2 linked regions of the Arabidopsis thaliana genome follow. The protein of the gene in region 1 purifies or fractionates together with the protein of each later gene. This does not show direct contact. Each region holds a gene or a part of one and is shown in the gene's direction. Other genes may lie near its edges.

Region 1 (5,117 bases):
ATCAAAAAGTTATCAGGCTTTATGTCACGATGAAGAAATCCCCGGACATGCATATACTCAACTCTATTGATCTGAAGAAATCAAATCATGAGCAACACAATAACTCAAACATATCAGAGAAAAGGTAGATAATATATCCGTACCATTTGATCTGCGAGCATTAGAACCGTCTTTAGATTGAACCTCCGACTACAATAATTAAATAAATCCTCCATACTCGGACCCAAAAGGTCAATCACCATACAGTTGTATTCACCCTCAACCCCATACCATTTTAGATGTGGAATACCAGCTTCAAGAACACAAATGTAAAAGTTAATAAAAGAACGATAACTGAAGGTTTAAACCGACAAAAGGCAAAACTTACTTCCTCCTTGAAGAAGCATATAAAGCTTTGATTCATAATGAAGTTGAGGATGTCTAGCTCTCGCAGGTTCCTACAAAGAAAAAAACCAAAGTTTTAGTAATCAAGAATGAGTTTTTACACATTACTGAATTGAAAAGGGTAATAGTCAAATGTTGAGACTTACAAGCTTCACAGCAACTTCTTCTCCAGTTTGTACATTAACCCCTGAAAACAAAAGAGTTATTACAAAAGCAAAACTTGGAATTACCAAAAGACAGAAGAAACTTCAAATCACATTACCTAGAAAAAGTTCACCAAATGATCCACTTCCAAGTTTACGTCCAAGCTTATACTTACCACCAACCACACGATCCATCGTTACCAAATCAAAAAGCTTCCTCCTTTCTTCGATCTCTTAAAACAACTAATCCCCAACAAAACCAAAAGTTGACCCAGATCTCAATTCAATGTTCCCTACCTCTCTAAAAGCCTGATCGAAATTCAAAGATCCCCAATTCAAATTCTAGTAAGAACCCTTCAAATATCTGAATCAAATCAAAATTGTAATCGATTCACCAAGTAATCTTATGCTTCTGCTTTAACACAAACTAAAAATCACCCATTGACCAACAACATCTTCATAGAAAGTCTGACACTTTTTTTCAGACAAAAGCTTTAGATCAGATTGAAGAAACACAAAATGAAACGGAAGAGACAAAACCAAAACAAAAAAAAAAGGTGAAAAGAACAAAGAGAGACGAAATCAGACCCAAAAAAAAAAAAAATGGGTCGTTGGATTCGATTATCGTTTGATCTATAAAGACTGCTACGAGACAGCTTGATTCACTATTTTTTTCTCTTTTTTTTTTGCTGAATTTTTTTTTTCTTAAGGAAGATAATGGATTAGAGACGAAACCAAACGTTAAAAGAAAAATGAAAAAGAAATCTGACGAGACGGCCTTGAAGAAGAGATTTTGAGATTTTCTTTCCTTATCCCTAATTTTTTACAACTTTTTATTTTTTTGCTTAACTAATTTGTTTTCTTTTTCTCCAAATTTGATTTATTCTTCATTAACTGTAAACAGTAACGTCACTATATGAAAAAGATGATAATTAATGACATAAAATTAGTTGGATTTTAATATTTTCTAGCATCTTTATTTTCTTCCGCTCAAGCAATATTGATTATTTTTTGGTAGGCCTCAAGCAATATTGATATTTGATTTGAAACTATTACATAAAAAATATCATAAAAAAACATAATATTCTACCAAAAAATGAGTATTTGATAATATATTTTTAAAAGTAAACAAAACAAAATTTGTCTCGAAACTATCAGATACACCATAAAAAAAAAATTGGTACTATTTATAAAATACTATATAATCACTTGATTGTTAAATTTGCTTTTTAATTTTTATTGGTAATAAGAAAAATTATTACTAACTCGATAAACCCTGATATAAAATATTTTATTATGTAGAATAAAGTAATATAATAGAATCGAATTTCGATTGATATTATATTATCTTCTTTTTTTGTTTAGACCATTTCTTCAATAACAGTGTCAAACATATAATGACATGCATTTTCTACAAAGACAGCTAGAACTTTAGTTTTATATATTCAGACACCACTTACAAAAGAAGAAAATATTAATTAAACATGAAAAAAGTAAACATTGAACATCCCCATTTAATTAGGGCTTTACCAAATTAGTCGGTACGATAAACTCGTCTAAACATTAAATGGGCTTAATTAGTTGGGCTTATTTTAACACTAAATTGGCCCATTATAACTTCCCAAAATGATATTGGTTCGAGATGATTCGATAACGTGGGCATCAATCCATGGATCATCTCAGCTTTCACCATCACCAATAAATAAACACACAGGTCTGCTTTCATACCTTCACGCTCTCTCACTGATCATTCACAATCTCTCTCTTTTTTTCACCGGCGATAATTTTCCGATCTCGATTATAAGATGGCGAAGGAACCAGTTCGTGTTCTTGTTACCGGAGCTGCAGGTAAAATTCTTATTTCTCCGATCTTGTTTCTTCCATCTCTCGTTATTGATTCGTATCGTCAGATCTTTATGTAACACCAATTTTTCATAATCCAAAAATGTAAACGATCATTGAATCATATTTTCGATTCCTATAGTGAGATCTGAAGAGAGAAATTGATTGGATCATTTGGTGAATCCTGTTACATTTTGAGATGTAATTGTCATTTTGGATCAGTTATTTGATTTTATCATGATTTGTTCTGATTTTGTAAGCTTTATTTGGCGATTGATTTGTAATTTTGTGTGTAGATCATGTTTAAGTGTGTTTCTGTTATTGTGCAGGACAAATCGGATATGCTCTTGTTCCTATGATTGCAAGGGGGATAATGCTTGGTGCTGATCAGCCTGTGATCCTCCACATGCTTGACATCCCTTTTGCAGCAGAAGCTTTGAACGGTGTGAAGATGGAATTGGTCGATGCTGCTTTCCCTCTTCTAAAGGGTAAGTTTTTATTCTAGTATATATTTTTACTGTGCTCGTATTGGAATATGGTATGTTGCTTGAGGCTGAAATGTGATGTTGGTGTTTTTTCTGTGGAAGGTGTGGTGGCTACAACTGATGCTGTTGAAGCGTGTACCGGTGTTAATGTTGCTGTCATGGTTGGTGGTTTCCCGAGGAAGGAAGGAATGGAGAGGAAGGATGTTATGTCCAAGAACGTTTCCATTTACAAGTCTCAAGCTTCTGCCTTGGAGAAGCATGCTGCACCAAACTGCAAGGTGATAAGTCTTTTCGAATCGTTCTTATGATCATTATGCAGAAATTAAGCAAGTTAATCTCTTATTTTGTTGTATGAGATATTTCATATTTGCTATCTCTTCGTTTTGTAGGTTCTGGTTGTTGCAAACCCTGCAAACACCAATGCATTGATCCTGAAGGAATTTGCACCATCGATCCCAGAGAAGAACATTACTTGCTTGACCAGGCTTGACCACAACAGGGCATTGGGACAAGTGTCTGAGAGGTTAAGCGTACCAGTGTCTGATGTGAAGAACGTGATTATCTGGGGAAACCACTCATCAACCCAATACCCAGATGTCAACCACGCTACCGTTAAGACTTCCGTTGGAGAGAAGCCAGTGCGTGAGCTAGTCAAGAATGACGAGTGGTAAAAATCTCTAAAACACCCTTTTAATATCTCAATCTAGTTTCGTGAATGTGATGCTCATGTATGTTAGCAACTAATGTTGTAGGTTGAATGGAGAGTTCATCTCTACCGTTCAACAACGTGGTGCTGCCATTATCAAGGCCAGGAAGCTGTCTAGTGCACTTTCTGCAGCTAGCTCAGCTTGTGACCATATCCGTGATTGGGTTGTTGGAACACCTGAGGTTCGTCATTACTACTGTTTTATCTCGAATCAATTGGTTGTTTTGTGTACTAAGTAAAACTAATATGTTCTTCGACTTGATTTCTCAGGGCACATTTGTTTCAATGGGAGTATACTCAGATGGATCCTACAATGTTCCAGCTGGACTTATCTACTCCTTCCCCGTAACCTGCCGTAATGGAGAGTGGACCATTGTTCAAGGTAAATATATTTCTCGTAACCAAAAGTTATACACAATGTTCTTAAGAGAATCCTAGCCTAAAGCTGACCCGTGTAACGGAACCGTAAACTGGATTGTCTACTTCTAATCCTAAGTGTGCAAGGCTGGTTCTCGCTGCGATGATTAGCTCATAGAACTAGATATTGGTCTAATATGTGTTGTTGTTATTCACAGGTTTACCGATTGATGACGCATCGAGGAAGAAGATGGATTTGACAGCAGAGGAGTTGAAGGAAGAGAAGGACCTCGCTTACTCATGCCTCTCTTAAACCGGTCTTTTCTCAGCTGGTTTAATCAGTGAAAGCTTTGTTTCGAATAAAGAAGTTTTGTTATAAAATGAACTTTTAATAACCTCATGAGCTTGAGGTTTAGTTTTCCTAATGTGCCCATGATGTGTCGGTACTGATTTGCTGACCAGATATAAACAATCATTTTGATAATTGACCTCTTTTGGTTTCCTTTCGTAACGGGAGAGTGGAGAGTGGAGAGACAACAACAACTCGAATTTTTTGGTAGACTTTTTCAGATATGGGCCAAAGCTTTGTTGGGTATTCTTTTGGCCCATATGAAAAAAATACAAAAGATTTCGCAATTGTGAAATAAACAGCTTAAGAATAGTATTATAGAATAAAATCTCGCAATAATATACTCCATGGTTTTTATGCGATTTAGAACAATGGGATAATACTAAATTAATAATTTGAATTAATTTTACGTAATAATTTTACGTAACATTTATTTTTTAATTTACTATTATTATTTAATTATGCTATTTTTACTATTTACCAGTTCATCCAAATATAAAACCTTATTAGCCTATCAAAAAAAGAAAACGTAAAACCCTATTTCATAGGTTTTTATCTAAAACTAAAACCCTATTCTATGAGTTTTTTCTCCAAGACTTGCAGTCACTTTGATTTATCTTGTAATTTTATTTTTAAATATAATTTTTTTTCTATAAAAGAGCAAATATAGCTGCAGAAGATAATGATTTGTTGGGTATTGTTGATAACTCTTTTTTTTTCTTCTAATTCCTGATGAATTATCGACGGCTTAATTCATGTCCTCTTTTTTTTCCTGGACATTGAATGTTAGTGACAAGTCTATATAGGACCTAAATACATTCCAACCTTAACATTTATTATTGGCAATAAAT
Region 2 (5,331 bases), on another chromosome or scaffold:
CTTAGAGAATAAGGTAATCTTGCTGTTCTTCAAAGCCTAGGGATTGGTGGGTTCTTGTTGTAGTATAAATTAGTACCAGTTACTTACTGTATTTCTAAATGAAACAGATTTATGTAGCAGCAGCTAGAGGTCTTATGCCTTCTCAAAACTCTTTTAAGGTGAAATTCCCTCTTCCTGACCCAAAAGACCCGTTTTCCTTAAAACCTGGTTCTATTCCTTGTACAATGCAAGAGAAGAAAGAACTTGATTCAAAGCAAGTTACCAGCCTCACAGCTGCAATCAAGCAAGTTACCAGCCTCACAGCTGCAATCGCCGGTGCAAAAGCAGCGGCGACACAATTTTCTAAGAAGGGACAAAGTCTCCAAACAAATAATATATTTGATTACACAACAAGAAGCAAGAGCAAAGTTATTGAAGATGAAGCAGCAGAATCCCTAGATAACCCGGTTCTTGGTTCTGGTGGAACGTCTGACCGTACTTATAGAACAAGAAGCAAGAACAGAGGCACACAGATGGGTGAAGAAGTATGTAGTGAAAGCAGCAACAGCAGCAGCAAAGTTGAATCTAGTCAAAGAAGTGCAGTCACAAAGAGTGAGGACAGGAATACAAGAATTGGTGAAAGAAGGTTTGATCCTGGATCTGCCCGGGTACGTTTATTATCTTACATTAAGCGATAATTACAACAATAATTGTTGACTTTGTTGTTGTCTGATTTTATTTCACATGTGGAATTATTTCAGATCATGGCCGCTGCAATTAGGAACTTGAAGCCACCTTCTTGATCTAATGCGTCAAGGTTGTACCATATTTTGCATTCTTTCTAAAACATGTTCATTTCAAAGTTTGAGAAGTTCGTTTTAGAGTTAGTTTATAGGTTTATTGTATACACATTCAATTTAACTTATATGAGAGAATAATCATGTGGACTAATAAATACACAGAGCAATGAGTTTTGAGTAGACTGTTTAGTCGAATTTTACTAAATTACTATATTTTGGTCAGATTTAGAAGAATGTTTATATTTTTGGGGGGTTTGTCCCACATCGGTAGTTTCAAAATATCAGTTGTGTATATATTTAGTCGAAAACGAAAACAAGTAACAATAGTCATTGGACAAAGTGAATGGGTCACATGGGCTTGTCTAAGTTCCGACCCAGGAAAGTCCCCGGGCCACTTTTCGCAGAGATGCGGCCTCGGTAACGAGAGAATCATGCGGTGGAGAGATTCTATAAGCTGAGACGCGTGTGTGGAGCTTCTGTTGTCTCTCCGTCGATGACATCATGGCCGTTCGATTCACGACAGTTATTCACTTGGTCCTCATCGGACTAACTGAACGGGGCTTATGTTCCAATGACAACAATTTTTTTCTTTTTGAGTAATCCCGGTTTACTCAACTTACTCAACCGTACCGGTGGAAGATTCCTTACAGTAATACTAAAGCTTTTGGCTTAGCTCATTTTGGTGATGATAACAGTAATATCATAAGTACATAATAAATAATTGAAACTTTTGTAAGTATCCTCATTTTTTCAGAAAGTAAATAATATCAAATGTATTGAGAAAACAATAAATGATCATTTTTTTATTTTAATTAGACTCAAAATTAAATAACTGGAAATTAAAAAACCAAATAAACTGAAAATTATTATCTAAAATACAGTAACTAAAAATTTGTCTTGTCGATAAGTCGGATAAAATTTATTCATATAAATATTTAGTCATATACAAGTAAAATAATACTACAAATAATACACAATCAGTCGATGTTATATACAATAAAATTATAGATTTATAAAGGAAAAAATTATCCGGCGATATATCTGATGTCAATCTCTAGTGGGTTAGCATTTTTATTGAAAAATTGTATTGCTTAGTTTTTTTATTGTTATATTGTTAGTGAATTAAAATGGTACTTTGGTATTTTCATATATAGACTTTTTGAAAATAAAATCTTAGATTTTTTCTAACAAGAGTTACCAAAAATATTTTGGAATTAAATGAGCCGGCGACATAGAAGAATAGAGAGGGTTAAATTGAAAATTCATAAAGTAGGAAAAAATTAGGGTTAGACTCGATCATTCATAGCTGCGACTATTCTCTGCTCTTTCTACATTTTCTCATTTTCTCTTGGGCTACTTTTCGACTACTAACAAATCCAACGATGAGGGGATTGGTGAACAAGCTCGTGTCCAGATCTCTCTCCATCTCCGGGAAATGGCAGAACCAACAGCTTCGTCGTCTCAACATCCACGAGTATCAGGTTCTTCTTCTCTTCATTTCCATTTGATAGTTGCCTAGATTCGCTTTTGTCAAGTCAGAATTCGAGTACGATCTGTGTCTTTGTCTGTTGTTTCTGTGTTGATCCACTGATTGATTTGTGGTTGATAGAATTCTCTGGGTTTAGGATAATGTAAAGTTTGTATTGTGATTCTGATACAACCAGGGAGCTGAATTGATGGGGAAATATGGAGTTAATGTGCCGAAAGGAGTAGCTGCTTCTTCGTTGGAAGAAGTTAAAAAGGCTATTCAAGATGTTTTCCCTAATGAAAGCGAGGTAAATTCAGTGAGGGATTCGATTCTAATCTCTATTATTAGTTGTTGTCTAATTGAAAGAGTGTCATTTTCGTGTGATACAGTTGGTTGTTAAGAGCCAGATTTTGGCTGGTGGAAGAGGTCTTGGAACATTCAAGAGTGGTCTTAAGGGTGGTGTTCACATTGTTAAACGTGATGAGGCTGAAGAGATTGCTGGTATTGTACAGGATTTCTTGTTTGTGGCTTTCTGGAGTCTGTTTTTTGTTGTTGTTGTACAAGTTATTGATCTATTTCAAATCTTTATTACTTGTAGGAAAGATGCTAGGACAAGTACTTGTCACCAAGCAAACTGGTCCTCAAGGCAAAGTAGTTAGCAAGGTTTGTTATCTGTTATTCATGATTGGTGTTTTTTCTTCTATTATTGTCACTGCTCTTGCACCTTTGTTTATTCATTGTGTCTTCATTTTGAGCAGGTTTACTTGTGTGAGAAATTGTCACTCGTCAATGAGATGTACTTTTCCATTATTCTGGACCGTAAATCTGCTGGACCGGTATGCTACTACGCAAATGATGAGCTGCTGCTATTCATTTCCCTACTTCTAGGCATGCTGTTTTCATACCCTGCTGTAATATCTAAAACGCTTTCCTTTCCTATATCAGTTGATCATTGCCTGTAAAAAGGGTGGTACCAGTATTGAAGATCTTGCTGAGAAGTTCCCTGACATGATCATCAAGGTTGTTACTGTTTGATTCGTATTTGGTGGTCTGATCTCCAGTAAATATCATTCTGAGATTCTTTCTCATGCGGGTTTTTGACACCTCAAGTCATGGTTTTGCGTAGGTACCAATTGATGTATTTGCAGGAATCACTGATGAAGATGCTGCTAAGGTTGTGGATGGTCTGGCTCCCAAAGCTGCTGACAGAAAAGATTCGATTGAACAAGTGAAGAAGCTATACGAACTCTTCCGCAAGACTGACTGCACAATGTTGGAAGTGAGTTCTCTCTCACTGTCTTTTTTCTACACACTTCTTCAGTTATAAATATCTTTTGTTGAACCTCCAAATTTCTCTTGTAGATCAATCCCCTTGCGGAGACATCAACTAATCAATTGGTAGCTGCTGATGCCAAATTGAACTTCGATGATAATGCTGCGTTCCGACAAAAAGAGGTTTTCGCCATGCGTGATCCAACACAGGAGGATCCACGAGAGGTCTCTGTCTATCTCTTGTATCATCAAGAAAGCCATTGTTATGTTAATTCGATAGGATGTTAAAAGGAATAGTGTGTTGTGTCTCATAGGTGGCTGCTGCTAAAGTTGACCTGAACTACATCGGTTTAGATGGAGAGATTGGTTGCATGGTGAATGGTGCTGGATTGGCCATGGCAACCATGGACATCATTAAATTACACGGTGGAACACCCGCCAATTTCCTTGACGTTGGTGGAAATGCTTCTGAGCACCAGGTAAAAGGAACCTTCTTTCTTTCTTCACTTTTGGGAATCATTGGAATGAAAACCAATTTTAATAGAGGTTTGTGTCAAAAAATAAGGTGGTGGAAGCGTTTAAGATACTGACATCGGACGATAAAGTGAAAGCAATCTTGGTGAACATATTTGGTGGGATAATGAAATGTGATGTGATTGCTAGTGGAATCGTGAACGCTGCAAAAGAGGTGAGTGAGAAACAACCTTGTTACCATAATATTTCATATATTCATGATTGAAAATAAATCCGAGTGTTTGTGTGGAATGGCGAGGACAGGTCGCATTGAAAGTGCCAGTGGTGGTTCGTCTAGAAGGAACGAATGTTGAGCAGGGAAAGAGAATCCTCAAGGAAAGTGGAATGAAACTCATAACAGCTGATGATTTGGATGATGCAGCTGAGAAAGCGGTTAAAGCTTTAGCTCACTAATCTCTCTATATATACCAAAAGCCGGTTTGTTAATTGTTTTGTGGTTGACGCCCAATTTACACTTTCTTGCGGATATCATTTCCTCAAACAGATCAATAATGAACTGGTCTCCTTTTTTTGTGTGATCCATCCAAAGAGATTCAAATCAGAATTCTCAATATCTTTTTGTATTTAACCAACTCATATGGTTGATACTAGGGTTTCAAGTTTATCTCATACGTACTGTTCCTATCATGAATAAAAATCGTTTTTGTGGGAAGCCACACTATAGCTGTCACTGAAACAACAAAATTAATCCCTCTCTCTACAAAAGGCTTTCACAAAACAGAGCTGTCCTCTGTTTCCAATTTAACGGTCAAAACGATAAACTTATTTTTTGATAGAATGTTAATTATATTACCAAAAGGAAAGAAGATTATTTACAAAAACTTTTGACCAGGATTGCAGCTCCATTGTTGTAGTGATGCAGCTCTATTGCTGAGGGCTATGATGAAGAGGAAAATCACACTAACACTACTCAGCTCTTGTCCAAGAAGTTTTTATTCATATATAGGGTTTCTAGTAAAGTGAAAGATGCTGTTGATTTGTTCTGTAAGAATGCTCTTTTATATTTATGATCGACGTCAATGATGATCTATGTTCAAGTGATTTGGATGATAGCACCGAAAAATATTTGTCTAAATTCTCCTTGCATAGTTAATAATAGTACAAGAATGAACAAGAAAATCTAACAATTGGTGTGTTGTGTTCAATGAAAATTAGCCATTTGGAGCTAGCAGCAAAGTCTCTATATATGTCGTCTCTCCTTTCAAAAATCATCTCTATTGTCGAATTGAGGCATAGATCTCACAGAACCAGTCTCAGACATATATTCCGACATGTTAT

What was found.
Region 2: the proteins of c-NAD-MDH2 (region 1) and AT2G20420 fractionate together in Arabidopsis thaliana (co-fractionation; one large-scale study listed by BioGRID). This does not show direct contact.

What each region holds. Positions count from the first base shown.
Region 1 is NC_003076.8:17,388,220-17,393,336, forward strand, and holds c-NAD-MDH2 (Lactate/malate dehydrogenase family protein), read left to right. Parts: upstream 1-2,161; 5' UTR 2,162-2,332; coding exon 2,333-2,375; intron 2,376-2,698; coding exon 2,699-2,857; intron 2,858-2,956; coding exon 2,957-3,132; intron 3,133-3,243; coding exon 3,244-3,521; intron 3,522-3,606; coding exon 3,607-3,742; intron 3,743-3,830; coding exon 3,831-3,942; intron 3,943-4,135; coding exon 4,136-4,230; 3' UTR 4,231-4,522; downstream 4,523-5,117. Other genes in the region: ckl8 (casein kinase I-like 8), read right to left, coding at 1-71, 144-292, 368-437, 531-571, 647-722.
Region 2 is NC_003071.7:8,803,413-8,808,743, forward strand, and holds AT2G20420 (ATP citrate lyase (ACL) family protein), read left to right. Parts: upstream 1-1,929; 5' UTR 1,930-2,161; coding exon 2,162-2,260; intron 2,261-2,443; coding exon 2,444-2,554; intron 2,555-2,636; coding exon 2,637-2,748; intron 2,749-2,845; coding exon 2,846-2,910; intron 2,911-3,005; coding exon 3,006-3,083; intron 3,084-3,192; coding exon 3,193-3,267; intron 3,268-3,373; coding exon 3,374-3,526; intron 3,527-3,609; coding exon 3,610-3,744; intron 3,745-3,833; coding exon 3,834-3,998; intron 3,999-4,084; coding exon 4,085-4,207; intron 4,208-4,296; coding exon 4,297-4,446; 3' UTR 4,447-4,759; downstream 4,760-5,331. Other genes in the region: AT2G20410 (RNA-binding ASCH domain protein), read left to right, coding at 1-13, 108-647, 741-782; RIC6 (ROP-interactive CRIB motif-containing protein 6), read right to left, coding at 5,255-5,331. UniProt on the Arabidopsis thaliana protein: Succinyl-CoA synthetase functions in the citric acid cycle (TCA), coupling the hydrolysis of succinyl-CoA to the synthesis of ATP and thus represents the only step of substrate-level phosphorylation in the TCA.